Linked DNA regions of Drosophila melanogaster. The protein of the gene in region 4 interacts with the protein of the main gene of each other region in a pairwise test. Each region holds a gene or a part of one and is shown on either strand. Other genes may lie near its edges. The genes, in order: Pex14, Alp1, Sesn and CG17107.

The links.
Region 1: the proteins of CG17107 (region 4) and Pex14 interact in a two-hybrid assay, tested with the Drosophila melanogaster proteins (one large-scale study listed by BioGRID).
Region 2: the proteins of CG17107 (region 4) and Alp1 interact in a two-hybrid assay, tested with the Drosophila melanogaster proteins (one large-scale study listed by BioGRID).
Region 3: the proteins of CG17107 (region 4) and Sesn interact in a two-hybrid assay, tested with the Drosophila melanogaster proteins (one large-scale study listed by BioGRID).

The regions. Positions count from the first base shown.
Region 1 is NT_037436.4:20,775,248-20,783,170, forward strand, and holds Pex14 (peroxin 14), read left to right. Parts: upstream 1-3,551; 5' UTR 3,552-3,685; coding exon 3,686-3,796; intron 3,797-3,855; coding exon 3,856-4,158; intron 4,159-4,430; coding exon 4,431-4,859; 3' UTR 4,860-5,131; downstream 5,132-7,923. Other genes in the region: pitslre, read left to right, coding at 1-806, 927-1,460; Pex16 (peroxin 16), read right to left, coding at 1,822-2,735, 2,796-2,907; Pcif1 (phosphorylated CTD-interacting factor 1), read right to left, coding at 6,411-7,083, 7,144-7,272, 7,338-7,463, 7,526-7,923.
Region 2 is NT_037436.4:21,439,255-21,448,072, forward strand, and holds Alp1 (alkaline phosphatase 1), read right to left. Parts: upstream 5,566-8,818; 5' UTR 5,497-5,565; coding exon 5,421-5,496; intron 4,847-5,420; coding exon 4,587-4,846; intron 4,483-4,586; coding exon 3,378-4,482; intron 3,269-3,377; coding exon 3,117-3,268; 3' UTR 2,973-3,116; downstream 1-2,972. Other genes in the region: CG5664 (uncharacterized protein), read right to left, coding at 1-477, 535-1,200, 1,259-1,915; Syx7 (syntaxin 7), read left to right, coding at 7,001-7,121, 7,189-7,258, 7,609-7,753, 7,827-8,243, 8,302-8,397.
Region 3 is NT_033778.4:23,710,572-23,719,458, reverse strand, and holds the start of Sesn (sestrin), read right to left. Parts: upstream 5,560-8,887; 5' UTR 5,341-5,559; intron 4,794-5,340; exon of another isoform or gene 4,779-4,793; 5' UTR 4,560-4,778; intron 662-4,559; exon of another isoform or gene 634-661; coding exon of another isoform or gene 1-633. Other genes in the region: CG18128 (uncharacterized protein), read left to right, coding at 1-633. UniProt on the Drosophila melanogaster protein: Functions as a negative feedback regulator of mTOR function.
Region 4 is NT_033779.5:10,677,507-10,684,534, reverse strand, and holds CG17107 (uncharacterized protein), read right to left. Parts: upstream 2,570-7,028; 5' UTR 2,545-2,569; coding exon 2,254-2,544; 3' UTR 2,007-2,253; downstream 1-2,006. Other genes in the region: CG7299 (uncharacterized protein), read left to right, coding at 163-696; CG17105 (uncharacterized protein), read right to left, coding at 3,177-3,488; CG17104 (uncharacterized protein), read right to left, coding at 5,180-5,631, 5,730-6,627.

The DNA.
Region 1 (7,923 bases), on a different chromosome or scaffold from region 4:
GTGGAATGACCCAAGAGCAGCCGGAAGAGAAGCCCGAGGAGAAACTCAAAGAGAAACAGAAGTCTCTGGAGGAGCAAATTCCGTGCGATGACAAGGGCATTCCCCTGCCCAACTATTATCCCGGTGTGCAGGGCTGCCGGTCTGTGGAGGAATTCCAGTGTCTAAACCGCATCGAAGAGGGAACCTATGGAGTGGTATATCGAGCCAAGGACAAAAGAACCAATGAGATTGTGGCTCTTAAGCGTCTGAAAATGGAGAAGGAAAAGGAGGGATTTCCGATAACATCACTCAGGGAGATCAACACTCTTCTCAAGGGTCAGCACCCGAATATTGTGACCGTTCGCGAGATCGTGGTCGGATCCAACATGGATAAGATATTTATTGTGATGGACTATGTAGAACACGACCTGAAATCCCTGATGGAAACGATGAAAAATCGTAAGCAGAGCTTTTTCCCCGGAGAAGTCAAATGTCTGACGCAGCAGCTTCTGCGGGCGGTGGCCCACCTCCATGACAATTGGATATTGCATCGTGACCTGAAGACCTCCAATCTCCTCTTGTCCCACAAGGGCATTCTCAAGGTGGGTGATTTCGGATTGGCAAGGGAGTATGGATCGCCGATCAAGAAGTATACCTCACTTGTTGTCACTCTCTGGTATCGTGCACCCGAGCTCCTTCTCTGCTCGCCGGTTTACTCCACGCCCATAGACGTCTGGTCGGTAGGCTGCATTTTCGCCGAATTCTTGCAGATGCTGCCGCTCTTTCCGGGAAAATCTGAAATCGATGAGCTTAACAGGATCTTTAAGGTAAGCTGTGGTTGAGCATTAAAGTTTAGTTATTAAAATAAGCTTGTTGAACAATTGTTAGTATTAACTTTGAAATTCATTTGCCGAGAATGCTTATTGACTTTTGATTTATTGTTCTAGGAATTGGGAACTCCGAACGAGAAGATCTGGCCAGGATACACCGAGCTCCCAGCCGTGAAGAACATGTTGTCGCAGAACTCTCAGTTTACCGAGTATCCCGTCTCGCAACTGCGCAAGCACTTCCAGGAGAAGACCTCTGAAATGGGCTTGTCGCTGCTGCAGGGTCTGCTGACGTACGATCCGAAACAAAGACTGAGCGCCGACGCGGCACTAAAGCACGGCTTCTTCAAGGAGCTGCCATTGCCCATCGATCCATCCATGTTTCCCACCTGGCCGGCCAAGAGCGAGTTGGGAGCCCGCAAGGCGCAAGCCTCTTCCCCCAAACCGCCATCCGGTGGCTCGCAGTTCAAGCAACTAGGCCGCGACGAGCCCATCATCGTGGGACCGGGAAACAAGCTCTCATCTGGGATTATCACTGGCAACAAGAAGAGCCACGGAGCTGGTGGATCGTCGGCTAGCACGGGATTTGTCCTGAACGCTGGAATAACGCAGCGCCAGTTGGCCATGGGACCGGGATTCAGTCTGAAGTTCTGATTCTGTGTGTTTTAGCCCATTACGATTACGATTAATTGTTATGTATAGTTAGCGATGTAAGTGGAAAATTTCGTTTAATTGTATGTGTATAAATATTGTTCCATATATAATTTAAAAAGCCATACAAAGCAATTGGGATGTATAATCATTTTTCACCTCAAGAGCGGCAATGCCATGTGGGTGGGTCAATTCAAGGAATATGAAAGTTGGCTATAAACATATCGAAAATTACTCCATCGTTTTATTGTGCAAACAACTTTTCAAGGACCAAAACTCAACCCACCCTCAACACTCCGAATGCGTCCACACCTGTAACTTTAAAACTTAGCCTAGGGGAATACTAACGCTCTACCTGAAATGCCTAAGTGGACCACAGATAGAAGTAAGTGCTTTGCCACGTGGGAATGTAATCTTTAAGGGGTTTGGCAACCACCTTAGCAATGGGCACACTTGTGGCCACAAAGTCGAGGATCCGCTCCAGTCTGGATTTGGTGAAGCTGTCATAGAACGGCGATCGGACCAGGAAGTACATGATGTTTATGCATCGCCTGCTCAGCTCCAGTTTTTGTTGCTTGGACATTAGGTCGCGATGCTGGCGGTAGAGGTGAATGCTATACAAATCAATGGATAATGCTACCATATATTGCTTCCAACTTCTCCGGCCGAACAGCCCCATGGCGACCAGGTGGATTAGTGGCTTCGATATATACAGGTATTCTGCTTGCAGGAGTTTCCTCGGAATTTGCGTCTTCGCCGCTTCATTGTTGTCTATATGAAGCTTGAAGTCGCGGTATTGCAGGGGAGGAGCACCCTCCACTTTACGAATCACACGGCCAGATCGCTTCAATTGGAAGGTAATGGAGTGCTGGGACTGCAATAAATCGTTCGTGGAGGAGGCCACACCATCCCCCGAATTCTTCCTCTGTTTGGCCCTTCGATTCAGTGCGGCGATGGGCGGTGAGGTGATTATATCCGAGGTTGAGTGTTTCAAGATAAAGAAACGGCCCGCTGCCTTGAAGGCCTGTATTAGCGCTATCACCAGCCACTTGCCGGATTGACCGAAAAGCCGACGGGCTGATATCTCGATGAAAACCTCGCTATATTCGAGCGTCGTCAACGTGACCTTTAGACGGTAGCAAAGTTTCGATTGCAGGTGGATCACCGAATTCTCCTCGGAATTGCGTGCCTTTTCGATGATCCGGTCGTTGTAGAACACCAGCATGTTTGACAGTGTATATACCAGCTCACTGACCACATTTGATGAGGAAATGCGACCTGGAAGCCGGCCAATGAGATGAGTCTGTAGGCTCTATGTAAGCAAGGAGTTCACTTTACCTGCTATAAAGTAGGATACCCACTTGGCTGTGGTCTCAAAATCCCCCACCACGTCGGGGTTTTTGCCCACCCACGCCTCGTACGCCTTCAGCATGCCCTTCAGAGTGTCCATTATATCCGGAAAATATTGTCTGTTCCTCCAAATAATAAAAATAATGAGGTGTTTCGGTCTACAGGTAATCAAATCGGTGCAGTTGTGGTGTTCTGGCGTTTTGAACAAGGCGTTAGTGCTTTCATGCAACACAAAATAGAAGGTGACGCAAAATGAATACATATATGAATGCAAGCACGGAGAGCGTTGATTAAACGCTTTGGATTAATAAAATTGGTACAAAAATAAATACCAAATACCAGTGTCACGAGCTTATCGCCATTACACTTTCAAATTTTACCACATTGGTGCTTACACGTCATAGAAAAAGAAACTAATAATTAAGGACCCACAATTTGTAAGAACCACATTTGGCATATCTGCCACCAACCTTTCATAGCCCCTTTTAATGTTCTTCAATGTAAAGATTTGCTTGTTTAGTCTCGGCATCTTAATTCAAGTTTCCTGATTCTTTATACTGCAGTATATTTTTATTGGGTATATTATGCATTTAAAATTTTAGCCCAGGTACTATGTTCTTTATAATAGAAACATTTCTTACCAAATTTTTCGGTAAAAACATTTTTCCAAGTTCAAATCTTTATTACGTTACAAATTACCTTAACGTTATACATAATAACCCTAGAAACGCTAATGCATTAGTAATTTCGAGAGCAGCAAAGTCTTTGGTCACACTTTTGTTTTTGTGCACTTTGTAATCGAATTGCTCGTGAATTCGGATTCACTCCGTTTTCGTGTGTATTAGCTAGGCAAGATTGAATTAAGAGTCGATATACAGATGTCCAGCAACAACACGGACACTGGGGACACCACCGTCATGGCGACGGCTACCTCGGTGCAGAACGATGTCGAGGCCGGCGTAGATGAGCAATTGCCTCGAGAATCGCTGGTAATATTTGTTCAACCCCTTCAAGTTTGCCTAATCTATAATCCGACTATTCGCCGCAGATAACCACTGCAGTCAGTTTTCTACAAAACACCAAGGTGCGCCACACGACACTTATCCAGAAGCAGCAGTTCCTACGGTCCAAAGGTCTCACCGCTCACGAAATTCAGCTGGCCTGTGAACGGGCCGGCGTTTTCACCCAAGACCCCAACAAGCCCAATCCGAATCCGAACACCGTCATTAGCATTGGATCCCAATTGCACGCGCTGCAGCCGCAGCCGACTGTCTTGGGCCGGATCAGGGAAATCATCCATTCGGCAGCCCTGTTCAGCGGAGTCGTCTACGCAGTCTACATCTTCTGGAAGGTGAGATGCAGTGGGATCTCTATTTCGGGGTCTTTTAAAAAGATTTATTATATTTACTCCACCAACTCGAGTGCGAATTTAAAGATCGCCATCTTGTCTAAGGCTTAGATACATTACACATATATTTGATGACACTTTTACCAGACGACGTTGAATTTACTTAGTATTTAACACATTTTGTAAAAGTGTTAGGACGCATAAATAAGTTTTAAGTGGTCCACCAGTCCAAAGTCCATGATTGCTAATAACTTCTAAAACCCGTATAATTTCAGCAATACATTGCGCCCTACCTGTTCGGCAAGTCCAAGAAGAAGGCGGTCGATGAAGTCCTGGACGACATAGACAAGAAGGTAGAGACCCGCACCAACGACCTCAACAAGGAGATTTTGGCGGTCAGGGATCTGATCACCACACAGCAAAGGGAACACGCCCAGCAGCTGAACCGCGAATTTAGTAACTTCCGTAGCGATCTGGATGCCATTAAGGGCCTGCTTTTGAACCGAAAACAGTTCGCCGGCCCTGTGGCTCCGATCGCAGTGCCATCCATTCCCGCCTGGCAATTGGCCGGCTCACCGCATCACCATCACCGGCACAGCGGGTCGGACGACAACGAGAAGGGCGATGATGCTGGATCCGGGTCTGGCTCGTCGGAGACAGAGGTGGTCACCAAGAATAGTGACTCCAGCTTGGAGATCATGTAATGCAATCAGAATACGAGGCTGGCTATATAGACGTAGTATATAGTTACGCTGTAAATTGAGTTTCCCCGTTAAATGCCTTCAAGACTTTTGGTTTTTTTTCTTTGCGTTTATAGCATTTAAGGTTTCTTTATAGTCAACAGCTAATCCATATCCAAAAGTACATACACACACTCACATATACACACTTATGCGATACGATGTCTATACAATGTAATAATAAAAAGTTTACATAATAACAGGTTTGAATTGAAAGAAACTGTTTAATTAAGCGCAAAAATGCTTTGTGTAGTTTTTTGTTTATCGGTACATACGGGGTGGGGATAGCATATCGGTTTAGACAATAAATTTCGACTTAGACGATAATTGGATTCTAAAAATTTTGCCGAGTGCTACTTTCTATAAATTGGCTAAATTCCCTTAGGTTTGATTTAAGATTATGCCGGGCGGAGCACCTCGAGGTTTTGCCTACAAGCTCCTTGAAGACTCCACCCAGATCCTTAACGGATTTAAATTATTTATTTATTGTGCGGTGCCTAGTTATGGTTTTGTTTCAATTACAAATTTGGTTCTCTGCGCATTCCCTTCATTAAATTTCCTTCACTACTTACGTTAGTTATCGATTTGTACATACGATAATTTAGTATTCAAATAATTGTTTGCCATTTTCGTAAAAGTTAATGTATTCTAGTAAGTTAATATTCTCACAAACGATTGTTAAGGGCTTCACAGTTCACATGAATGTGTTCTTTATTTCTCACTTCGTTTTGTGAATGGACAAACCATTGCGAAATACCCTGAAACAAGGATAGAGAACAGTACCCCTACCCATACTATGTATGCATTATTAGAGTCTTTTGTTGGGTAGCTTGGCCCTTGTTTGTTGGGTACAATCGTATAAGATAAACAGCGGCCAGGCCGGCATTTTTATCAGCTATTTCAAATTAAATATAACATATTTACAATTAATTATACCTTGCGATGGGGGCAATACCAGCTGCCAAAGGCCGAGCACTGTGTACGTTTGAAAATTAAAGCTTTGACAAGAAGTACAAAAATGTGTACGTTTGAAAATTAAAGCTTTGACAAGAAGTACAAAAATGTGTAACAAAATATTTAGTGTTTTAAAGCCTGTTGTTTGACCCAAACGTAATTTACCATTCGGACAGGCATCATTTGATTAACACCGAGCGATGTGTAACGTTACAAATTAAGTTTTTAAAATAAGAAATTACAAAATATTGCGTAATATGTATATGCGTTTTCCTGGTTCCAACGATACATTTTGAAAACGGAATTGGATAGTTGTACTTTTTCGGAAAAACAGAAGTTGCCATCCCTTTGGCTTCCGCGTTTGTTTAAATTAAAGCGATTATCATCCGATTACACAAAACTAAACCTCAGAACTGGGAGCATGGCCGCTAGTGTGGCTTCAGGCCCAATTGGTTTTTTCTTCCTCAAATGTAACCCTAATTTATGCTAACAGAAAGTGCACAGATAGTATGGACAAAATAGAACCATGTGTGGATAGCAAGATCCCAAAAAGAATCAAATCTAGACGGCTGAGTTGATGACCGCTTGCGTGGATGCGGAACTACTGATGCTATTGGCCTGGCCAAATGCAGATCCCGCTCCAGCAGCCGATGTGGTAGTCGTTGCCGTAATGCTCACCGCTGCCGCTGTGGCAGATGTCACTCCATCCGGATAGCCGCCCGAAGCAGGAGCCGGTGAAAGAGACATCGTCGACGAGGAGGGCGAAGAGCAATCGCTTTGCACACTCATTGTGGGCGAGGCGGCCACCAAATTGCTGCTACTGCTGGTGTTGCTGATGGTCATCGGAAACTGTGGCGGCGGATTCCCGGTGGGCGTGTGCGGGGACAGTGGCGACATTGAGGACGATGTTGTGGTCAGCGACGGGCTGCTGCTTGTGCTCGTTGTAGTGGCTGTGGATGAGCTGTTGCTATTGACTCCACTGATCGTACAGGAGTTGGTTGTTGGAGCCGTGGATGCGGCGGATGGGGGCGTCGATGGCGATTGCTGGCTGGAGGTTACCCCAGCTGCTGCCGCCGCAGCTGCAGCCCGCTCACGCTCCCGATCTCGTTGTGGCCTGAAGGCCTCACGCAGTGCCTCCACGCGAATTTCATTGGGTCCCCATCGCGCGTATCCGGCGCTATTTTGCAACCACACCACCTGTGTGCCCTGCATGCACTTGATCAGCACATCAGACCTGGAAATTAACGGAGTTAAATAAGTATGAATGGGAAAAGCATAAGTTTAACTAACTTACTTTTGCAACATGTGCTGATAGCCGTGTCTGTACTCGTGGGCCATGCCCAATACCACCATTGAACGGCGCTTGTACATGCTGTCGTCCAGCTTGGATATGCTCTTCCACTCCGGCAGAAACACAATAAAGCTGAGTAAAACAAGAACAAATTGTATTATACTCATAAGCAACATCAAACCGATGTTTAATCTCACCTCAGAGGCTCCATGGTGTCCGTGAGCAGTTTGTCGATGTGCAGCAAAGAAGCCTCAATCAGCTCCTCGCAATGAGGAGGGTTTACTTGGAAGGAACCGGAAACGGGCTTGAAGTCGAGGAAGGGCCTGTAAAGGTCACACATTTCACTTAGATTCAGCTTATTAAAATTCACTATTTGGCTACATACCCCCTGGAACCGAAGTAGGCATCCGTGTCGGCAAACGCAGAGCAGTACTGTCGGAAATAGGAATTGAATGGCGAGGCGAAGCACTCGAAGCTTACACCAAACTGCCTATGTAGGCACTCGAACACTGGCACTGGCAAGGCAGCCTGGGTAAGCTCCGCCTCCTGGGAGGAATTCAGGGCATTGCCCAGGAAGGTCTGGTACCTCTTGAGCAGACACCATACCCGGCCAATGAACAGATCGAACTTCTTGTCGTCGAAACAGTTGTGGCGGTACAGCTGTTCCAGCTTCTGTAGATAGGTAAGGTTGATGTACTGAGCATCTGGCTGGTTGATCGTGGCGGGCGTGTACTTGATGATCATGTGGTCGCGATCCTGTAAGTACTCGATCGTCGGCATCCG
Region 2 (8,818 bases), on a different chromosome or scaffold from region 4:
ACTGATCCTCGCAGTCAACGGCTGCACGAGCTCCTTACTCATTAGGTACTTCCAAAAGCCTCCAAGATTTAACCACTTGTCATAGTCTTTTAAGGCGCTAAGGAGTAATGCTAGGTAATCCTCACGCGACAACTGCTCGTCATCGTCATCCTCAATCTCACTTTTAAGATTGTACTTTACCCATTGACGCGCTCTAAATTCTCCGACCACCTTTTCCGGTCCAAAATGAGTTTTTTTGGGAAAGAAAAAGAGCTTCAAAAAGTGGTCTGTGAACTCGAAGCGGAGATATGGGGGGTCCAACTGCCGAATAGCCATTAGGTAGGTGCGAACCTTTTTGCGATTGTGCGATTTAAAAATCTTGAAGAAGTCTTCGATGAGCAGATGGGTTTGGGGTCCCATACTAGGATATATCACAGCATTATCCTCGTACTTTAGCTCTGCCGTGTTGCTTACTTCGACAATTAGGGAAACAAGGCGCTAATAGTACTGAAAGAGTTACATAAAGCATACAACCCAAAAACATTACAAACCTACCTGGAGAATCCTCTGGCGTTCTGGGTACATGGACTTGGCCACTACCTGTCCATACAGACTCATAATTTGTTTAACGATGTCGCTGAGACGCGTTCCTGCTGACATTTCAAATACGATCGAGGCAAATGACCTGGAGTTTTCCTGAAACAGCTCCGACTCCGACTGCCTCAACCTGTTATGATCCAGCCAGGAGAGGAACTCTATTTCCAGTACACATGTGAGCATGTTCAGGACATCGCAGAGCCGTGCCAAGCGGACTGCGGGCGACATTCTCTTGAAGTCGTCCAGACAAAGCTTCCCACTCTGCCAGTCATACTGCTGTACATGTCGCAGAAAGACCGTTTCCTGGGACATATTCGCATCCTCCTCTTCCGAGAAGTTAAACACAAACTTTTCATAGAATTTGGTGTTTTCACGTATCTCTTCATCGCTGCAATGCGTTAGATTTTCCTCAAAAAGATCGATGTAAAACTGCAACTTCTGGGTAGAATTGGTTGAACGTGTTTCTCGCAAGGGGGGATGCGAGACGCCCAGAAAACTCAAGTAGTAAGGACGCAGGGCTGTCCAGCACGGGGGAAAGGCGTCGACCAAAAGAAAAAAGGTGCGTATAAGTTTGTTGTAGATGTCGCCAAGCTCCTTTACGCTTATCTCTTTGGCAATTAGGATCTGCATAAGGAATTCATGATATTATTACAATGTGACACCAGAGAAATAAGCAATCAACCATGGCCATATCTATTAGTCTGTCAAAGACTCCTTCGCCTGGGTAGACACCCTGCAACACCATCATCTCCAGAATGTCCAGGAATGTATCGTAGTGCTGGCCGTGCAACGTGGTTCGTAGCGCCTGAACGGCCGCAAAGTTTGGGCCATCCGGAAGCGCGGAGCACCGATGTCTTTGCGTGCACAGACTAGTATTGTAAAGACACCTGGAAACACAAGCTCCCGGAAGACGATCCTCGCTCTTCATGTACAGATTTGAGATCAATATACGCAGGTTAAACTTCCAGTTCAGTTTCTTGAGAGTATGATTCAGCGGAGCAGGATATTCGTTGGTCCTCTTGAGGCATGCCTTCCTAGCGAAAACCTCCCCCGGGGCCGCCTGAGGTTTGGTTCCTGACTCTAATATCGATTTACCATCTAATTTGGAATCTGATTTATTACTTGCTTTGGAATCTGATTTGTTAGGATCAGGTTCGGCAGCTGATCTGACAGAGACCATTTCCACGTCCGACTCCTGAGGCAGATGAAAAGGAATCGTCTTGTTGAACTCTAAATTAGTGTCTAAGACAATTTCTGCGACGTCCGCTGTTGAATTTATGGTATTTACGCTGTCTGAGTTCATTGCGAAATTCAATAATTCTTCGCCGTTGGAACCCATTGCAATTCCTTCGGTTACTAACTGATCTTCAGGTTCTTTGGTTTCAGGATTCTTTTCAACCTCTAGACCAGGACTAACGTTATGGCGTTAATTGTGGTGGACATCAGAGCGCGTAACAATTATTTACGCTAGAATATCAAAAGTATTAAAAACACAATTTGTGTTTTTTTTTGCCGGGGATATTTTTAAGTGTGACCGCTGACAGACCGCCCAAATATACGGTAAAACGATAGAACAATCGATACTAATGGGCTCAACGGCTTTTTAACTTATGCGATAATATCGAAATTATGGAAATAACCAAAATTCAAACTCTCTATTAAATTTTCTCTATTCAAATTTTCAATTAAAATGGTGTGTCCTATACGTCCAGTCCAGTCTTATTACTTGTGATTAAGCTCCTTCTTCAGTTCCGTCGCCGGCTTAAAAGGCTTTGTCGAACCAAGGGCTTGATCTCAACGTTGGACATTGAGGGCTTTCTTTCTTGTTTGAACAACCGACAATGCGTCCAATTTCAGCGTAGGTTTTACCTTCAGAGATCATGTTTTTAATCAAATTTCTTTTTTCGACGGTACAATGCTTTATGCGACCCATGACTTGAGAATTTTGGGCCTTCGTTTGGAAAAAATTCAATTAAAACCTTCAATTCAATTCCTTTTTATAAAATGTGTGGAAAAAAAAACCCAAAGCAATCACTTCTATTAATATTATTCAGCAAATACGTGGTCAGTGCTATGTTTGTTACCGCCTAATTTCGCGCACTTTTGCAGCAAGTGCCCAAAAACAAAAAGAACCGTTACGTTGAGAGAGTAAAAATTTATTGCTCAGAGAGACCACATATGGTACTTATTATTCATGCAATCTGACTTAAAAAAAAAACATTTAATAATTTTTTTTTAGGAAATCAACTTTCCACCTGCAGTAGTGCTATTATTTTAACCGCAGCTCTATATCGGTTAAGTTTTCATTATTTGGGGGTCTATCAATTGACATCAGGGAGATGATTTTGTAATGTAATTTGTCTGTTTTTTAATTAATAATTTTGGGAAGTGCTGTTGCTTCTTTGCTTATTCTCTTTATTCAGGAACTATATAAGCTAAAAAGTTAAGATTAAATATGGCGATTCTAGAATCTCCGCAATTTGTTTTAAGAATAGATCATTTTATTCAATTTCTAAACATATTTATTCCTAGGGGATTTTCTAGGGAGAGTATCTTGCTTTTGGCTGCAGATCGCAATATGTAATTCCAGGTCCTAAGCAAGAGGCGAAGCCCATCAAATGAGGCAAGGTGCTTTGTTCGTAAACTCCAGTGAAAAGATGAGACCATGGACCTTGAAGAAGATATTCCACAACTTTATACATTTCAAGAGTTTTGATTAAATGCTTGGATTTAAGATTATATATATCATTCAAAACCCATCTAAAAAAAAAAACTTAAAAACCAAAAAAACATGAACTCACCATGAGCATAGACGGCCACATCGCCACCGCCGTGTGTCTCCTCGGTCATGGGCACTCCATGTGGATAGATGGCATCCGGTTTGGAAAAGTCCAGGTTACGGAGATCAACGCGCTCCACCACTCCGTCCGTCGATTTGTAGAATCTCTCGTAGGCCGGGCCGTTGGCATATGAGATGGACGTGTAGGGCAGCTGGTCCACATTACTTAGCTCGGAATTGAGTCCTACTATGCTGTTGTTAACATCCGGATAGCCGCTGATCGTGACCGTGTGTCCGTGATCCGCACTCACCACAATTAAGGTGTCCCAGGGATTGGTGAGTTGTCGTGCCTTTCTCACTGCGTCCGAAAACTGAACGGTTTCATCCAAGGCCTTCTTGGCCTTGGTCTCATGATGGGCGTGATCGATTCGACCGCCTTCCACGAAAAGGAAATACCCGTTTGGATCTCGGGAAAGCACATTTATGGCCGCTGCCGTCATCTCGGGTAGCGTGGGTGTGTCTATGCTGTCGTCCATGTGGTACGCCAAGTGAGAGGCATTGAAGAGCCCCAGCAGGAAGTCAGTGTTCTGCGCATCATTGTTCAGGAGATCCGTACGACTAAACACCACCCTAGCATTACCCGGCTTTGTTTGTTGCCATTCCTCAATGAGGTTCCTATTATCCAACCGCTGGCCCTTGTTTCCGAACACATCGTTCGTGGTATTGGGCAAGAATTTAATGGTTCCACCGCCCATGACCACACGCAGTCGCTTGCCCACATCTCCGTCTATCAATTGCTGGGCGATATCCGGACAGTTTCCTGGATTTTGACCCAATTTGGTCACGTCGTAGTCGCTCTCGAAATCGCGATTCGAAGTGTGCGCATAAACTCCGGCCGGACTGGCGTGGGTAACCCGAGTGGTGGTCACCAATCCAGCGGATTTGCTACCTTTAAGCGCCCAGGCGGCAATCGAGGAGAGCCTATTCTGCGGCAAGCGCGATCCCCTGCAGTCGTTCAACTCCACATCGGCTGTCACTCCGATGGTCAGATAGTTCGCCTTGATCCCCGACAGATAGGCCGATGCTGTGCAGGCGGAGTCAGCCACTTGCTTATTGACGCAATAAGTCTACAATGACAGAAGGGCGTAATTACTGTCTAGTTATTAACGGACTTAATAAATTTATTAGCAGTTTATTGAGATAACAAATGACTTCGTTGACTTCTAAGTACCTTGGACAGACCGACATAGTTGAATTTCTCGAACTCCAGACGATTCCGTTCGCCCACCACTCCACGCAGCTGTCCATCGAAGATCCTGCCTGCGGTTACCGTGGGAACGGACATACCGTCGCCCAGGAAAAATATGACATTCTTGGCACGATATTGGTTTGGTGGAGTGGATAGCTTATTGTAGAGCGTGCGCTGGGCGTCGTGAAACCAGAACTCCTTGCTCTTCAACTCGGAAATAGAGTCGAGGTCCCAGGATTGCTCTGAAAGTAATGCGATTTTAGCTTATTTCATTATAAATTAAGAATGCATATTATTCTGATTAATTGAAACCATTTTTTGTTACTAGCCGATATGCATACACATTTCAAGTACAACCTCAAGAATTTATCAATTCCAAGCACATGTTTCGTTTTACAAAACAAAAGCACAGACACAATTGCCATTGTTTTCCACTCCACTTTCGAATTAATCATTAAAAAGGGAAATTGCTTTCAGAAGATAGCACATAAATAAAACACCGAAAGAAACCTATGGAAATTAAGCATTAAAATTAATTCAAATTTAAATTTTAAAGTATTAGTCTTATATCCACTTTCGTTAAAACATTCTCCTTCGGAAAAAGTGATGTTTGACAGCTCTGTTAGCGGGTGTCAAATATTTAATTCAATTTACGAGTATTTTGCTGACGCCTTTTATACTCCGTTTAGCACTTGATTAATCAATTCTGCATATGTTTTGAGTTTGCTTTCGACCTGGCACACTCTCACTCGTTTTTCATTTATTCATTTCGGGTCTTTTGGGCCCGTTTCTGATCTCGGTCTTGACGTTACGCACCTGGCCCATATTTGTACTGGCTGCTACAGGCCGTGAGTTGGAGGGCAAGAGCCGCAAAGAACCGGAGAGCACGCATCGCACGGAATTTTGATGAACTAACTTTCGACTGGTCGGGGCGTTACGAAGTCTACGGATCGACTAAGCCGCATTTCGCAGTTGGAGGCTTATTTATACGAGCCCGGTAAGACAGGGACCGAAAATGCGAGTCGAATTATAAAAAAACACTGAGACAATAAATTAAAACCCGTCCCTGTATTATAAAGCTTCTAAATACACCTACCAACCGGAATTTCGGGATGAAAGAAAGGCATTTATGCCCTTATTCAAATTATGCAGCCAGCACAGCTTAGATTAAAATGATGTTCTCCAAAAATCAGGTTCGTTGCATTGGTCATTTGCATAATATCTTGCATCGCAGTAGGAGATGATGTAATTAGTGGATGCATCGAAGCAGCCTAATTCATTCTGCGATCTAAAGTTCATTAACCGTGCCAAACACCGGATACTGATAAATATCTCCAATACACTAATTTGTAACGTTAATTTGAATTAAGTTGCTTTTGATTTTTTTTATAAACGAGTTGCACTTATTTTGTCTACCAGTTATTTGACTTTTTTAAGAAAAGTAATAATCTTCAATTTTATTTCTGCTAAACAGGTTTCAAATACCCTGAGTTGTACAATGTTAAATTTTAAGTTTTGAATAACATTCTGGGTAAGCAAAATAGTTTTGTATACCTACATTATTATTAAATTTGGTATGAACATATTTATTGAACGGAAGGAAAACTGTCTAAAATTCGACTTATTTGTTTTATAAGGCATCATTGTTGGTCATTTTCATTTCTATACGACATTTTCCTAATCTAACATTTTAATTTTGGAGAAAAAGTGCAAAATAATAATTTATAATTTTGAATAATAACATTAAGCAGTTCATTTTAGACATGGATCGATTTTCAATAATAAATCTCAGGACTTATATACATTTTCGAGACAAAATATAGGGGGAAGAATATAATTAAAATGCAGTTCTATATATCTGCTATTTGAATGCCGCGCCAGATATCGATATAATTGAAGTGCTGTAAAGCGTAGCAAGGAAGTGATGCTAAACGCATCACGCGCTAAGGCACTTTTGGGTATTAGTCGAAAGTGACTTTCTCACAAGTTGGCAGTTCCATTCCAATTGTTGTAAAAACCTAGCTAAAATTTCAGTTTTGCGAACATTCCGCCTACTTAAATCAACAAATTTCAGATTGCGAAACGCGTAAAAAGTGCGAAGGAAATGCTCTAAGATCAAGGTCACCGGCGAAGGTCACCAACGACAGCTAGGGCAACCACAAAAGGTGTGTGGCTGTGCAGCAAACAAAGGGAATGCGAATTGCAAACATTCCGACAAACAGACAAACTAACAAACAAGCACGAATATAGAATATAGAATCAAGAACCTGGCTGAGACGCATAAAAGCGAATGTGATATAAGTGGGCCACGGGGCTAATTCGATTGTCTGTCTCTCCAGGAACAACTTGTCTCCAGCGATAACTCGAAGGTCATCAAAGTGTCTGCCTACGAAAGCATGGACTTACAGCATATGGAGAATGGTCTAAGCGGCGGGGGAGGAGGTGGCCTAAGCGAAATAGATTTCCAAAGGCTGGCCCAGATTATAGCCACCAGCATCCAGAAGGTGCAGCAGAATGGTGAGTGGCGTCGAAGCACTTGCCAACTTTCGCCTATGACTAATCTAGGTTTCTGTCTCTTTCGCAGTGTCCACGATGCAGCGCATGGTCAATCAACTGAACACGCCCCAAGATTCTCCGGAGCTCAAGAAGCAGCTGTAAGATGATTATCATTACGATCTCTTCGTTTGGAATTTAAACTGTCCCCATAGATAGAACCCATTGCAGATATACATCGATTATTCGAATATCTCTCAGACAAATCATAAATTCTAAAGACATAGTGAAGATCTCTATTGGGTGTTTACTCACAATGTCTAAAAATCTTCTTAAGCCAATACAGCCTTTTAATACATTTTGCGCACATCAACCGACCACATAAACCAACAGCAAAATAACATTGTAGTCAGTCATTGGTTTTGAAAGTTTAAACGTATCAGCACAGTGTGATTCACAAATCAAATCAATGTATAACGCACGATAAAAATAACAATCCCTTACTCCACAGCCACCAAATAATGACCTACACCAACCAGCTGGTGACCGACACAAACAATCAAATCAACGAGGTGGACAAGTGCAAGGAGCGCCACCTGAAGATCCAGCGGGATAGGCTCGTGGACGAGTTCACGGCGGCACTGACCGCCTTCCAGGTTTGTTTTTGTTCTCCCAGATAAGCAAATGGTTTTGTGAGTCATGCTGATTGTTTATCATTGGTATTTTTAGTCTGTTCAGCGCAAGACGGCGGACATAGAGAAGACGGCGTTGCGGCAGGCGCGCGGAGATAGCTACAACATCGCCCGTCCACCCGGCTCATCGCGTACCGGCAGCTCCAACAGTAGCGCCAGCCAGCAGGACAACAACTCCTTCTTCGAGGACAACTTCTTCAATCGCAAATCAAACCAGCAACAGATGCAGACTCAGATGGAGGAGCAGGCGGACCTGCAGGCCCTCGAGGAACAGGAGCAGGTCATACGGGAGTTGGAGAACAACATCGTGGGCGTGAACGAGATATACAAGAAGCTTGGCGCCCTGGTCTACGAGCAGGGACTGACGGTGGACTCCATCGAGTCGCAGGTGGAACAGACTAGCATTTTTGTCTCGCAGGGCACGGAAAATCTGCGCAAGGCGAGCTCTTACAGGGTAAGTGCCGCCCCTACAAGGTTATTATTTTAAATAATTTAAATATGTTGTTTATTAGAACAAAGTGCGCAAGAAGAAGCTTATTTTGGTGGGCATCCTGAGCGCCGTGCTGCTGGCCATCATCTTGATACTCGTTTTTCAGTTCAAGAATTAGAGCCTTCCGGCATCTCCGAATGATTCAAACCAAACTAGTAAATTGTTGTGAAAAGACAAGAGTTGCCGCATGCAGGCCCCTAAACCCCGTAATTCCCCACCCAATCCTTTGGACCTTAGGCGAGATTATGGCTTTAATCCTTAATCCAACTTCCAATACTGGCTGAAATCGAAAACTGCGACTCGTAGACGAAGATATAGTGTTTTGAGGAGTATTCACCGGCACGTGCATCTGTTATATTTGCTTTAAAAACAATTTTATATTTTATGTGTACTACTTTTATTATTACGCACCCTGTATATTGATTATTAGTATTGATTAACAACTGTTGGCTTCAAATTCTAATTATGTTCCGAAACTCATTCGCCAGCGCTTTGTATTGTATTGTATTGTATTTAGAGTTAAGAGGCAGAGGAAGCCA
Region 3 (8,887 bases), on a different chromosome or scaffold from region 4:
AACCTGGCCACCTGTGCGCTGCCCGTCCGCGTGATGCAGTTGTGCGGGGTCAGGACCATCATGCTGACCTCTGAAGCAGCGGCCGTAGATCACGGATTCGCCCTGGGCGACATAATGCTTGTCCAGGACCACATCAATGTGGTGGGCATGATGCACCAGACGCCGCTAGAGGGTCCCAGTGATCCGCGCTTTGGCAGCCGCCGATTCTCGATGGTGAACGCATATGACAAGGACCTGCTGGAGAAGGCACTCGAGATTGGCAAGCGAATGGGCATCCAGAAGTTCCTGCACAGCGGCGTCTTAGCCTGCATGGGAGGTCCCATTCTCGGCACTGTGGCCGAGGAGCGAATGCTGCGGACAATGGAGGTCAGTGCCGTGGGCATGTCCCTGGTGCCCGAGGTTATAGCCGCCCACCACGGCGGCCTGAAGGTGCTCGCCTTTGTGGTTATCAGCAGGGCGGCCAGCGACAAGGAGAGCGAGGAGAGCGATAAGGACAAGGAGAAGGACACTGACAGGGACTCCAAGCAGGATAAGCGAGAGCAGGATTCCCAGGAGCCTGTCCCCCTCCCAAGACTGCAGGCCTGCTCCGATCTGATCGGCCGACTTATGTACTGCATGCACCTCGAGATCTGACGATCGAAAATAGACTTCTCGAAGCCCCATCCGACTTCTTCTGTTCGGATTCCTATTTTCGGTGCGGCCAGTGGTGCTGCCAACGCGGAAATAGCCACAGGTGCAGCTGTTGGCGCAATCTTCTCGGCGAAGAGTTGTCGCCTAGGGGGGAGGTTTCAAAATGTGTGATCTGAGATGGCCAAGTGGGAAGTGTGAGGTGTGAGGTGTGAGTTGTGAGGTGCGAGTGTGCCCGGTGTCACTCTGTCTAATGGACGCCCCAAATGGCCAGCCATCAAAAGTAGAGAGTGCAGAGTGCACACGGGCCGTATACGTAATTGTCCAATGCTCGGGCTCGGGCCAGCTGTAAAGTACATTTAATGGCAATTAGACGGCATAGAAAGCCGAGCTACTCTGTTGCACGTCTACTTGGCATAGTAGAGTAATGTATCAATTAATCGGCTAAGAGGCTTACGAGTCCGCGTTATCAGAACGTCGCTAAATGCCCTCCTCTGTTGGCCAGTGACAGTGGACGAGGCTCCCTGCGAGCCAACTTCCCGCAGATTAGCCTGTTTTGTAATGGCCATTACAAACTTGCACTGCCAGCGCTTCTTTGTTCGTCATTGTGGCTAATTTTATTATTCGCCATTGTGCGGCAGCTGCAGTAGCAGCGCGATGACGAACGGCGATTGCGCTGCTTATTGACGCTGATTGTTCAGATACAAGTGCATATATGCATGCATGTACATATGTATGTAGTGGGGGTATGTATATGTGGGCTATGGCGACCGCCACGAGCTGTTTGCCTTGCAATTTGCTATTCGCGCTCGTCGCTTTGCTTTCAGCTGTTTTCAGCTGTGCGATCATGCGGCTAGAAAGCTACATTTTCCCCGGCCTGCACCGATTTTTCGCCGATTTCCCCCGGTTTCTCGTCCGATCTCGTCCGATTTCGTCCGATTTCGACCGATTTCGACCGATTTCCCCGACTGAGATTTGGGCCTGCGGCACTACGCTAATGAGTTTTCAGCGGCCAGTTCGTTGACCCCGCTGCATAAACTCATATTGATTGCAACTTGCCACCGAATTGCAGTTCTGACTGCGATTCATGCGGCCAGTTCAGTGCACTGACATTATGCACAGTTTTATTTTGGGTGCCATGAGTGCGTGAGTAACGGTGTCAGCTGACTCGCAGATGCAGATCTGCATCACCAGATAGAAAGATGCAAAGATACAAACACATTCTGGCATTTCAATTGCCCTGGGTGCAACATCTGCCCGCTATTTTGGCAACTCAATTGTCAACAAGGATCTAATTCCGATCTTCGGCTGACGCAATCCAAATGGCAGGCAGATGCCGATAGGAGTGCTGATATTATGCTAATTATAATGCCACGGGCTAATTATAATGCCAACTGATGAAATATCCATACCATTAATTTAAGCTAAGTTGAAGCAAAGTTGTATTTAAAACTAATGTGATTCCATTAGTTTCTTGATAGATAAATCCAACCCCAATTATTCGGCTGCATGGGGAATTAGAATTTCGCACACAAAATTACTTTTGCATTGTAATTATTATTCGGTTGTAATGCAATTTGCCCACTTACATACAGAAATCCACAAATATTCGCACACAATTTGCAGAGCAGCGGCAGTAAATGAATAGAAATCTGAATTTGGCAGTTGCTATGGCTTTTCCAAAGAACTTCTAATCGTACTTGACCACCATAAACAATATTTGGCGATTAGATTTTTTATATATTCACTTGACTTAAGTCGGGCCAATCGCCATTTATTAGGCTACTGATATACTGATATGGATGGTGAGTTATGTGCGCTGTGAGGGAAATCCATTTGATTAGTTATTGAAACTCTTTTAATTAAGTCTTTACAATTATGGGTAAGTCAGAAAGTTTCCCACTTGGATTATGCTTGCAGTTAGCTGAAGAACATGCGTAAATACCCTTGAATCTGAAGCATGGGAAAACGGCATGGAAAATACTCAGTTTTGTTTGTGACTACTTGTAATAAGTAGGTAAAAGTAGAAGATTGCACAAATTAACGGCAAGCAAGCTTAACAGACTGCAGTTGCAATTGTGTTGCTGCTGCACTTGCTGCAGTTGTAGTGGCTGCTGCAGTTGCTGTTGCGAGTTCAGTCACCTCGTCTTGCGCCCATAGAAATGACTATGATTAAAGCAGCATTCGCGGATACAACAAACAACACAACTTTTAAACTATCCGCATTAAACATGAAATAATGTACTAAACTTTCAATTTACTTATTTGAATCTGTTCAAATAAGTGCTTAAATAAACTTTTATCGAATTACTGGAATCTGCGAAGCGTACAGCTGATCGAATTAATAATGGTAGTGGCCGCAGGTCATTGGAAGGACCATGACTGTTGTTTTTGTCGCAAAAGGACGAATTCGATTGAGTTTACAGACCGATTCAGTTGTTTCTGGCGCTCGAAAGCCGCTTAACTGATTGCAACATTGATGGAAGCACATATCAATTGCCCTCTCAGCCGATGGTTCAAGTGATTTCCCATCACACACTCGTACACCCAATCACTCAACACACATAAACACACACACAAGCACAAGCGGCAATCTTAATGCGCCTGGCAACAACTAAAAGACATCAACAACATCGCGAGCAACAGTTGTGCGAGTGCGAGTGCATGAGTATCTGTATCTGCGTGAGTATCTGTGTGGCGCGCGCCAGTGTGTAGAGTATCTGTGTGCGACGGCTACATAGCAACCGTTTATCATAATTGGCATTAACTGCCAGCCATTCCTCAATTCTTTTCGGCCCGTAGCATTACGTATACGCCGGGATGGCCGATGGCCTGGCATGGCGAAGAGAATTCATTGCCGAGCAGGGGCCTTAATTCGCAGGCTCAGTTCGTTTTCGTTCTTCTTGTTTGTCTGCGAATTACGCCCATGTCGGCGTACTTGATTGTTTCACCGCATGTATTGTACGAGTGTAACAATGGATAGTATCGTGTGTATGGCCGCAAGGACCATGTCATTTGCAGTGCCGAACATTTAACTCGAATGCTGCCCGACAAGCTGCCTAATTAGTGGATGGCCAACTCGAAATAGAACTGGAAAAAGCTGAAGCCGCGAGAAGCGGGTAATGGAAACCGTAAACAAACGCAGCCAGCAAAGTGAACAAATGCCCTCAGCAGTTTACCAAAAACCGCGTGCGAGGCTTCGCCTTCGCAGTGGGGCGGAAAGAGAGGGCGAAACGCTCGGCAAGCGAACACGCCGCCTAATTTAGATTCCCGTGCGGTAGGTCAAGTGCCAATTTCCTCAACTTGAAGTTGTGTGGCAGCAGCAAATCCAATACTGAACGAATTGAATCAGTGTGTCTTCCATTCGATTCTGTTTTCTGTATACGCATCTTGGCCCAGGAACCTGTTGCGCTGACTTGACAGCCCGTCAATCCGCAAAGTCCCTGGCACTGGCCAAAAAATGGGAAAACAGCCGGAATTGGCCAACAACCGCAGGTTTCACATGTGCAATCTGCCAAAGATTTGTGAGGATTTTGTGGGAAGCGATGCTGCAAACCCAATAGCATGAGCTTCTACTCCAGTCGAGAGTTGTGCACTGGGGAAGGGAATGGTTTCTCTATAGATTCAATAGAGAATTCAAATATTCAAAAATAGCCAGTTATTTATGTATGAAGACATTAAGTGGGGCACTGCAGATAAATGCGAGTGGCAACCTATGTTAGGGGAATACCAGCTTAAGGATATATTTTAACCAATTCTAAAGTGCATTTTGTTTCTTGCAGTGCCTTGGGTTTTTTTCCATTACGACAATCCCTAAGGAACATTCCATTTCATCGGAAAAGCCTCTTAGTAACAGTCCTGGCCTCAAAGGACATTTGCAAATGTATTGGGGAAAACTGGAGTACTGTATAGATGGAACCTTTCTTACTTACCCTTTGTTCGCCGGACTAACAGTCTCTACATTTGCTTGATAGCGATGTTTGTAATCTCCTTTAATTTCGGTTCATTTGCCCGAGGGGCACACAGCTACTTTCTTGTGGTGTTTGTCTTTACAATCGCAGATAGAGCGCTTCTTTCGCTCGCGTTTTTGATAACACAGAACATATATGATGTAGTAACTAATTGCTGGAAATCGGCGAAGGGCTCCGAAACTTAAGACACGAAAACTGTGGATAAAATGTATTGTTTTGATCAGAGGAAACGAAGAAAGTTGGTACTCGATTTTCGTCCGTTTTCGTTTATAATTTAATTTACGCGCTCACTAATTATGTAATGCCCTCTCCCCTAATACCCCGAAAAAACCGAAGAACCGATTGCATTTGGCGCGAAAATAGACAACGGCAAGCGCAGAGATAACAATAATAGTTTATATTTAAATTTGAACAACAACGGCGGTCAGCATCGTTTAATTTGTTTACGCGGCTCGAGCTCGTTATTATTCGACTATGAGGCCAATCTAATTTATGCTCCGCCGCCTTGTTGTTGTCTCAGTTTTGGGTTTGATTTGGTTTGGTTTGCTTTAGTGCCACTCTGACTGGGCTGCTTTGCAGGAGATTTCTGTAGTAATTTTCCATGCAATAACAATGATTTTCGCTTTTTTATTTTTCTCTATTTTTCTTATTTTTTTAATTTTTGGCGCTATCTACATTTCTTGTTTTGCGCCGCCTGCAGTTGCGTTTGAGCGCGTATCCCCCCGAGGGAAATGGAAATTACCAGAAGTAACAGAAGCAACAGAAGAAACGGAGGCGAGAACGAACCAAAGGGGAATAAAAATAAAAACGGTTATCCGATGTTTTCGGAGCTTCCTGATTTCCCGCGATCTTGCGCTGAGAGTGGGAGCAGATATCGGGCGTCTGTAGCGCGTCTGGATTTCCCGGTCTTCCGCTTTTCTAGCCGGACAACTGAACGCGGCCAGCGACAAACTTCAACTGAAGCAGCTCGACTCGAATCGAATCGCGGCGAAACGAAATGAAACGAATCGCAACGAAACGATACGAAACGAAACAGCTGGTATCGCAGCCCCAAAGCCCCACAGTGCAACAACAACAGCTGACGGGGGCGGAGAGCCGAAGAGAGTGCGCCACACTGCGCGAAAAGTCAAGCACTTAAATCACCAACTAATGCAATGCTAGTTATATGGCCTTTAACAGCGATTTCGTAGCTTAAAAGGATCTGCATGCAAGAAACTTATTTTCATTGTATCTAATTATACCTTTGCGTTTAATAATTTAAAGGAGAACTTCTTTAGATTTCAATTATTTGTTTTCTGTGTAAGCTTATTACGAGCAACGAGCGAGAGAGCAAGTGTGTGGGACAGAAAGAGCAGGCAAAGCAGCAACAGGCAGAGGCAGAAGCAGTCTGACCATTTTCCTGAGGGGCTGGGGGTGGGGAGAGTTGCTCTGTAGGCGCAGGAGAGACGGTCGCTATGACTCTTTGTTGCACCTACTTTGTTGCCGTTGCCAAGGGTGAGAGCTAAGCTGCATGCCGAATACGCTACACAAAACAAGATATAGAGACTGTCATATCCGAATTGTTGCTTTTTATAGTTTCTATAATCTATTTATTGAAACTTGTTACAAAAGCGTGCTAACGCACGAAAAGTAGGAGACATATTCCTTCTCAACCTTCTACTTTCTTCTGTAGCGTAGGGTACCCAACTAAACCAATACACCCCGTACAAATGTACAGTTCTTTTCTTCGCCCTGCCTCTCTGCTCCTCCAATTCTTTTTAGTTCAACATATGTGAGGAGCACATGGAGCGACAGCAACACAAACAGCAGCAGCAATAACAATAATAGCAACAATAGCAACAATAACAACAATAACAACAATGACAACGCAGCGACGACGCTCCAAATGATTGAACTTAAATGGCAGAGGCCTAGAAAGCAGGGTGTGCGTGTGTGCGTCGCAGTGTTTGTGGATGCAAATGTGTGCCCGGTTATCAACACTTTTTAGTCGCTAGCCCTCCTATCTCCAACCTACTCCCCCTTTGCCACGCCCCTTTCCCCCTCCCACATTCTATCACCATGCTAGGGCCCAACAAAATAGTCAGCATTTGCGGGCGTTCAAAGCTCAAAGCAAAAGCAAAGAGGCCACAGTCAGCCCTCTGTGTCGTGATCCAATATCTCTGTCCACAATAATCAGCACAAGAGGCGATAGTTTCGAACTCAAATGGGATTAATCCTCACTGGAATACAGCTCAAAACTGTTCGAAACTGCCAGCATGTAGGGATGTAGAGTCACTAAACTGAAAGCTTCTAGCAAGATATCAAATGGTTTTCAACAAAGCATGCTTTGCAAGCAAAAATGGCACTAGCAACTTTACGAACTTAGGTATTAACTACACTTTCACACAGTAGAACCTCCACTGTACCTGAAGCTCGGCAGAAAGACTTCGCAGAGCCATGGAACCCGCCTTGTTTACCCTACAGAGACTTTTTCCGGCTCGAGAGCCTCTGAACTGCCCCGCCTCCGTTTCTTCCGCCCATAGAGCGAGTATCATACGAACTGCAATAAGTGGCGGCGATAAATAAAGTACCCGTCCCCATTTTCATTTTATAGCCAGATCGTGAGACAATAAAATGCAAAGGCAATGAGTGCGCTGCTGGCAAGAGAAATTAATAAGCACTCGAGTGCAAAGTACTGCTCGCCGCTCGCCACTATCACTATCATAGGCCGAATGCTGTTGATTTGCATTACAGCGGCGGAGTGGGGGAAGTCGCTTATCAGCAATGGGAGCCACAGCAGCAGCGGGCTGATAGTGATAACAGCGCCGATACCGAAATACACACGTTGTGTCGGTGTGCGTGGCGTAGATTATTGTTATTATTGATTAATAAACAATTGTCTCACTCGCACAGAAAGTAGCTGAGGCTGTACGTATGTTGGTTTGTCTACACACATGGGTACATCTGTCGACTAAGGCGACGCGACCGATAAGGAGTGACCGATTTAGTTCTATAGTTCATGCGGAGATAGCCAACTCTTCGGACGCGATTGACCCACAAATATGGGGCGACAAACATGAAAACATATGCTTAAACTTATTTTGGTACGGGCCCCAAGAAAAAAGCACAGATCACTTAAATTAGTCAATATGCATGACTTGCCACATTACGCACGACTATCAGTATGTTTTATTATTTACAATTGTATAAACCTTTTAAATTATTTTATATTTAATTTGAATTACTCTCTCGAGCATGTTCTTTCTCCAGCGAAATGATGTATTCAAGCATATAAGCTTAATTAATGCTGGCATACATAATTAGTTTTGCTATCAAGGGACACACTTCAACATTTTTGCTAAAAAAAAGGGGAAACAAAGGATTATCAGAGTACAGAAAAATTTTACGGTAAAACTCCACTCATCTGTAGCAAAAATGTTTTTAAACAGATTTTTTTTGGAAAAAATGTAGCTGACAAAAATGGGTTATTGAATTCCAGTTCGCACGGATCCTCCGGCTAAATTCCTGTAAATCGCCGTGCACCTTTTTTCGCTACAGTTTTTCGCTTTTTGGATAATTGGTGGCATATCAGTGTTTCAGCTGGCTGACTGAACAGGTAAATGTCGGGAAAAAGCGACAACAGGGCCAACTATTTCGTGTTTTTCTTTTTCCGAGCAAACACGCTGCAGTGGACACAATAAATGAATCACGAAATGCGGAAAAAACACACAAGAGCGGGGCAGCGCCGGAAAATCGGGCAGCCATTCGCATCCGTGGGTTGACATTTAATTGCCCGGTGGGTCTGGGTGCGGGCCATTCCCCCGTCCAGAGTCCCGAGCCCTGGGTCCTGTGTCCTGCGTTCTGCGTTCTGCGTCCTGAAAAGGATGTGGGCTCGATGGTGGGTTAAGTGTGGTTGCGGCATGGCCACCATATCAGTTGTAACCCGATAAACGAGCTGCGTTTGCATGAGCACACCCTCGCCCGGCTTATGTTACCCCGTTTGCCTCTGGCAAATGCATCTCAGCGATGCGTTAAACCGCCAGAGCCACCCCAAAAACCACCCAAAGCCAGCAAAACCAGCCAAAGCACACGGACCACGACCGACTGTTTGCTATTGGGATGACGCCAGCGATGGACGTTAATCTGGCCAGCAAATTGGCCATGAGCTGATTGGTTTTGTACCTGTTGCGTATTCCCACCTGCAGTTCCGGTCCCCCGCCCCAAATGGGGCCCACCCATTTTGACCGAATAGAAGCGTTCGCCGTGTAGGAATTCTGCTAATTACTACATATATGTTATGGTTTAATCCA
Region 4 (7,028 bases):
TGCTAATTTTTATCCGAAAGCGGAGGCTAGATTAGATTATTGTTTTTTTTTTTTATTTTTTTTTGTTTGTTTGCGTCTGCCTGCCGTCTGGCCACTATAAAAACCAGGCCCTGGGGCATTGGCCATTAAGTTTGTTCAGTCACTCCGATCAAGCAGATCACCATGAAGGTCTTTGTCGTTCTCGCCGTAATCCTGGCCGTGTCCAGTGCCGCCCCGCAGTTTAATAATGGCAATGCTAACGCAAATGCCAACGCAAATGCTGAGAGTGAGGGCGGTGGAAGACCAGGATTCAGCGGACCTGGTTTCCAGAAGGAAGGCGGATTCGGAGGAGGATTCGGGGAACGAGGCCCTGGATTCGGAGGACAGGGTGGATTCGGAGGGCCAGGACAAGGTGGATTCGGAGGACCAGGTGGCTTTGAAGGACAAGGTGGATTCGGCGGACAGGGTGGATTCGGAGGACAGGGTGGATTCGGAGGACAGGGTGGATTCGGAGGACCAGGAGGATTCGGAGGACCAGGAGGACCAGGAGGATTCGGTGGTAACTCCGAAGCTAACGCCAATGCCAATGCTGTCGCCAACTCTGACGGAGGATTTGGCGGTGGTAATGCCAATGCAAACGCCAATGCCAATGCCAACACCCGAGGTGGCAGTGCTAATGCTAACGCCAATGCCGTCGCCAACGCATTCCGCAAATAAGCCAACAGATCCGAATTTATTCACTGAGTAGATTTTTAATATTTATAAAAATAAAAATAAAAAACACAAAACTATGAACATTTGTAATTCTTGAAAGGCATGTCATCACAGTAATGAGGTCCATGCAAACAAGGAAAACTAACACAGAATCCTTTTTAAGTATAGATCCACTAAATTGAATGTGCATAAAAAGAACATGTGCATTTTTGCACACATCCAATTACATTTTTTTTTCCAGGGGAATGCTTTGTCAAGAATATTTTGATAATATTTTATTTCGAATTTATGCATTTCTATTATGAAAATATAAATGAAATGATTCAGTCGCAAAATTGTTCTAGGCTGATAAAATTACAATTCATACATTGAAAGCGTATTTTGTAAAAATGTTTGTAGTCTTTTTGGAATAAACAAAGAAAAATATTTTACTCTTTAGATTTACAAATTATAATTATAATGTGTGTTCCACTTTCTAGAGCAACAGAAAAGAACAGACATTTCGAAAACATCATTGATATGCAGACTGTGTGCTTTGATTAGTGCAAAAATTAACTATGATAATAATATGTAGATAATTTAGCTAGAATTAAAAACTAGAAAAAACGCTATAGCCGAGTTCCTCGACTATCTGATACCCGTTACTCAACTAGTTCATTTGGCACATCAATAGATAGGAAAAAATGGTAATTAAACAAAAAAATATCAAAAGCATTTTTCAAAAGTGCAACGTCCCTAAAATCTGAATGCAATATAGATTGAAAATGCTCCTTCTATCTGTTTCATACATTCTAATAAGCCTAGCATACCCTATTACTGTACGATTAAGGGGTATAAAACTAGTTTTATTTCGGAAAGGTTTGGCTACCGTAAACGTAGAAACTTATCCAGATGTTGATAATTTGCAAATTTAAATATTGCAAACCCGAGTTTTAAGAAGCTTGACAATATATCAAGAGACGTCGGACTTCATTTGTGAAAAAATATCTTCGATTTATTAGACCTGCTGAAATTGAGTGTGTCACTCCGTAAGTGGCCAAATTCAAGACTTGTTGTGGGTGGCAAATGCAATTACTTAATTACATAAAAAAAGTAATCACACAAAAAAAAAAAACTCACAAATTGTTTGGATTTCCGGGTAAGCTGTACAAACAAATGATGAATGAAATGAGCTTAATGATTTTAAATATAAAAATAAATTAAATTAAAATTGAGATGCACTAACTATTTGCAAAAACTATATATATATAATGCATACTTTTCAGTTGTAATTCAAGTTGTTAGATACATTTTAAAACATAGTTTCTAATATTAGCTCCCGCTGTTAACTTAGTCTGTTTTTAGGAGGCTAGAGAAATCTTGTTTGACGTCATTAGATCTATAAATAATGCCCGACTCATAAACTGGTTATTAACCTAATATACGAAAACAACATCTTGGATTTCCAAAAACAGAATTAGCATTTTAATATTTATTGGTATTGGTATTGGTTTCAGTTTAGTAGGTCTGTCAGCGGACGTGCCCACTTTTCGAGAGTACAGTTATGAATCCGTTTCGAGCCTATCCATGTCTGCCATGTCCACCTCCACCTCCTCCGGAGCTGGCGTTGGCGGTTGCAGTGGCCGAGGCCGAGGCGGAAGCTGGGCCGCCTCCTCTGCTGTCGGCGGTTGCAGCGGCATTCGCGTTGGCAACTGCGTTCGAACCGCCGACTCCACCGACTCCACCGCCTCCACCGCCTCCACCGCGACCACCGCCACCACCGCCTCCACCGAATCCGCCGAATCCACCAGGATGTGCCTGAACGGCCACCAGGGCGAAGATTAGAAAAATGCAGATAGCCAGGAACTTCATCGTTAGAGATTGCGATGTTTTGTGATCGCGTGCTGGCCTCTTTTATACCAGCATCCGTGACAGGTGGACGACTTGTTTATCTGAAAAACAAAAAAAATCACAGAATCGATATTGTATCGGCATATATATGGGGGCTTCGATTAGCACATTAATTAGACATATATTAAAAACGCATGACGTTTAATATTACCTATATGTATAGTATATGCTTATATACTATGTTATCAATAATTGAAAACTGGTTAGCTTTGGCAAGCCATGTTTTGGTAAAGTATATTTTCAGGCTGTAAAAAAGCTCAGATAAATTCATTATGATAATCAGCTATAAAAACTAGTTTATCATGTAAGTCCTTAGATTTGCTTCTGTTTACACATTTTATACAAAATTCCTTTTCCGGTGATTACAACTTTTGAACCCGAAAATTATATATATATTCTTCACTTAATAAATAATAATTAAAAATTAATAAATTTATATTTATAGTATATTATACATAGAAGGTAAGGCCATTGTGTTGATAACGTTTGGCAAAAGTAATAATAGAAAAATGTCTTAGTCTTTATGCAATAATTATGCATTTGTTTATTTTTTAAAGCAATTGCCGTTTCTGGACTGCTGTTATCATCATTCCTTATCCGTAGTAAGCACCCGGACTGTAACCAACTGAGTTTGCGTTTGCATTAGCGTTGGCAGTGGCTACTGCGCCTCCACCACCACCGCCGTAGCTACCGGGTCCGCCGTAGCCACCGAGTCCTCCGTAGCCACCGGGTCCTCCATAGCCACCGGGTCCTCCGAAACCAACGCGTCCTCCTAAGCCGCCAAGTCCTCCCAAGCCACTGAGTCCACCGTGTCCTCCGTGTCCAAAGCCACCGTGTATACCAGGATATCCTTGGACTGCCACAATGGCAAGGAGCAGGATAGCGCAGAGTGCATATAATTTCATCGTGGGATGTCCCACTATCCTGTGTTTTTTTTTTTTCGTATGACAACTTAATTTCCATAATGAAACAAAGAAAGCAAAAATAAGTCTACTTAACTTGTTAACAATGGTTAACTAGAGCTTAAATATATAAGTGGCATAGTTTTCGGCTGTAACAGAAGTTGTTTTTATTTTCTGCGAATGAAGCTTTTATAGCCAGAGCTTACTGTAGCAAGCATACAGTGAGAAATATTTGCGAATCTTTTTGTTTTACAAATCAATCTACTGTAGTAATTTGGGTCATTAAATGTCCAGGATAAATTTATTCATAAGCAAGGAAAATGGAGAGATAGAGAAATTACTTCAATGTTATGATAGAAATAACTAATCTATTAATTTCATTTCTGCAATTGTGGTTACCATCTTAATATATATATTTTTCTTCATCCCGTTAAGCTTATGACTAACTGCCTGATATCGGTACATCCCACGACCTAGAGCTTACTAAGTCAGTTGGCTTAGTAAATAAAGGCCAGTTAAGTGGCCAAAAAAAAAAAAACCCGTATCGCCAAAACCTTCGATCCGCATTCATTCGAACCATATTCAACATGCAGTTTAGCGACTGCCGCTCAAGTTCAAATGGAAATTAGCGCTTGGTGTTTGTTTTATAGCCGATTGCTTTCAAATTCCATCGAGGGTGAGGCATAGCAAACGTGATACTCATTGCAAAACCCCCAAAAAAGCCCTGTGCTTCTTCATGGATTCATGGATTTTCACAAGCCGATCGATGAATGAATAATCTGCCAGGCGACCCAAGCCTGCAGACCTGACCACACCAAACCAGTCAGCTTGACTGGTCCACGTGTCTGTCCATCGGACTAACTGCGTCCATGCCGGAACATAAAGCCCAAAAATGTATGACGACAACTCTTGAGGAGATTGCCGGTTTTTCTTTTTCTGTTTTTTATTTTTTTTTTTGCAGGTGGGCAGCGATCAGCTTGTGGGCTGCTGAATGTCTGAGCTTGTGTTTGACTTGATTTCTTGGGTGCGCTGCTCGAACAATATACAAAATGATTCATATTCAGTGAATTAGATTTGAAAGAAGTCTATACTATATTGAATACTCTACATTGAATGCTCTATATTAAAAACTCTATATTGAATATTCAATTTTAGGAATAGACCCTACATAAACATGATTTAAATTATCTTTCCCTCTGCTACTATTAGAGGGTATCTTTTGGATCACCTCAGCCAATCACGTTTCGTTGCGGCAATATTATGTCCCATTTGAAGATCGATTTTCGGATCAACAATGTTTAAAATACCTACTAACGCTTTGTGCAATCGCCAAAACAAACACAAAACGAAAGATGGGTGTTCATGTTTTATTTATAATTTATAAAATCGCTTATCTCACGCATTTCTCCTCATTTTTGTCATTTGGCAGACCGTTCACAAATTTTGCACAATATTATTTTTGTTTTGTTTAATGTCTGTGCGGATTTGTATTTCCATCGATATCTTCTTACGCATCGTTATTTGTTTTTCTTTTTTTTTTTTGGTTTATCACACTGTGCGGATCGTCGCATAAAATTTAAATATTTTTGTTTATAACTCGTTTAGAATTGAAAATTGCCTAAAACAACCCGAGCATCAATCTCCACATAATGGCAAGTTGTCCGACCTTGACAAGGTCGTGTGGTGCTGACCACTCACGAGCGGTTGGTCCGCACCACAGACGAGTATCCGTAGAGCACCTCCACTCCGTCGGAGTTGAAGATTCGCTCCACACGCGGAGCTCGCGTCTGAATGGGGCGTTCTGTGGTGGTGGTTGTGGTTGGAGCACTGGTGGTGCTGGTGGTACTTGTCGTAGTTGGAGCTTCAGTGGTGCTCGTCGTAGTTGGAGCCTCAGTGGTGCTCGTTGTAGTTGGATCTTCAGTGCTGCTTGTGGTGCTCGTCGTAGTTGGAGCTTCAGTGGTGCTCGTAGTGGATGTTGTGTCCAAAGCACTCGTGGTGGTCTCTGGCTGGAAGTTCTCCAATGTTCCCACCTTGGTGGTGATCAGAACAGTCTCGGTGGTTGAAGTGGAGGTGCTTGGAGCTGTTTCAGTGGTCTCCTCAGCCTCACTGGTGGGTTTAAATGCAGAGGACAAAACTAGTGGCAGTTCTGTGAAAAAAATATGTATTTAGTTAACATATTGTTGGCAAGGAAATGGGTTTCGTAAATAAATAAGTCACAAATATATTTTTAGATTAAAGACACACCTGTAGTTTCCTCAATGGCACCCTCAGTGGTGGCTGCCTCTTCCTTTACTGTGGGCACCACCGTAGTTGATTCCGGTTGTGGTTCAGTGACGATAGGAGCTGCATTGCTAACGTATTGGTAAACAGGCACCACTGTGGTTTCCACCGTCTCTGCCTGATCAGTCTCAATTCCGGTCTTTTTATCCTCTTCCACCAATGCGGCGTCGGTGGTCATAATCATGGAAAGCTCTACGTTCTCATGGAGGGGTTCATTTGTGGTCGTTTCCATTCGGTTCTCGGCCATGTCCAGTTCAATCTCTTCCATATGTGCGGGCTTCCGCTCGAAGTAGTTCCTTATGGTTTTGACCTCCTCCTTGACGGTGGTTTCCTCGGTCTCAGCATTAGGAGTCGTGGCTCCGTCCTGTGGCAGAATAGTGGTGATCTCCACTCTTCTAGTGGTTGTGATGAAATTCGGTGGCAGTGTGGTAGCTCCGAATTTGTAGCTCCGCTTGGTGGTGCTCTCGGAAACTTCAGACTTTGGTTGCTCAGTACTTGTTGATGTGGTCTGATCCTCCTCCTCCGAGTCCGAATCGAGGTCATCTTCCGGCTTTTCGGGATTCTTGAGCTCCTCCTCCTGTGCACGCTCCATCTCAAGCTGTTGCACCACCGAATCCGGAAGTGGCTCCTCCGTCGTAACTATCGGGCTGGCTTCGGTGAAGGCCTCCCCCTCAGGATTGGTGGTCAATATCACGTCCGAGTCGACATCTACCGTAATGGTGCTCTCCTCCACGGACATATAGGTGGAGGAGTCCACGTCCTCGGTGGCTTCATACTCCGGCGAAACGGTTGTTTTCTGTGGCGCAGCTCTTGCGTGGCTGTAAACTGCGATCAGTAGCAGAATGGCAAAGGTCCGCAGCATTTCGGCGGATTTTTTGTTTTTTTTTGGTATTCGCGGAATGCGAGGCGGTTCAGTGGCTCGCTGGCAATGAATCAAACGAGTGTGGTGGTTCGAACGTGCCGAAAGCTACGTTCACTTTGGCTCTGAAAAAACTTGCTCCTGATTCCAAAAGCTCTCTCTTTCTGCAGAGAAAAAAGGTGGTTTATTTTTACGATATTAAGAGAGGAAGGGATCTTACAAATAACTGAATATTTTTAAGCTGTTTTAGAGCTATATGTTATTCACTGTTTATATTAGCTTTTGAACGATGCTTTAGTTAAAGTTATAGTCATTCCCACTTTTCCTTTTCTTTTTGACAATTGCACTAAAATTGATAGTTCACTTCAATTTTGTTTGTTTTATATTTGGAAATTCACCATAAA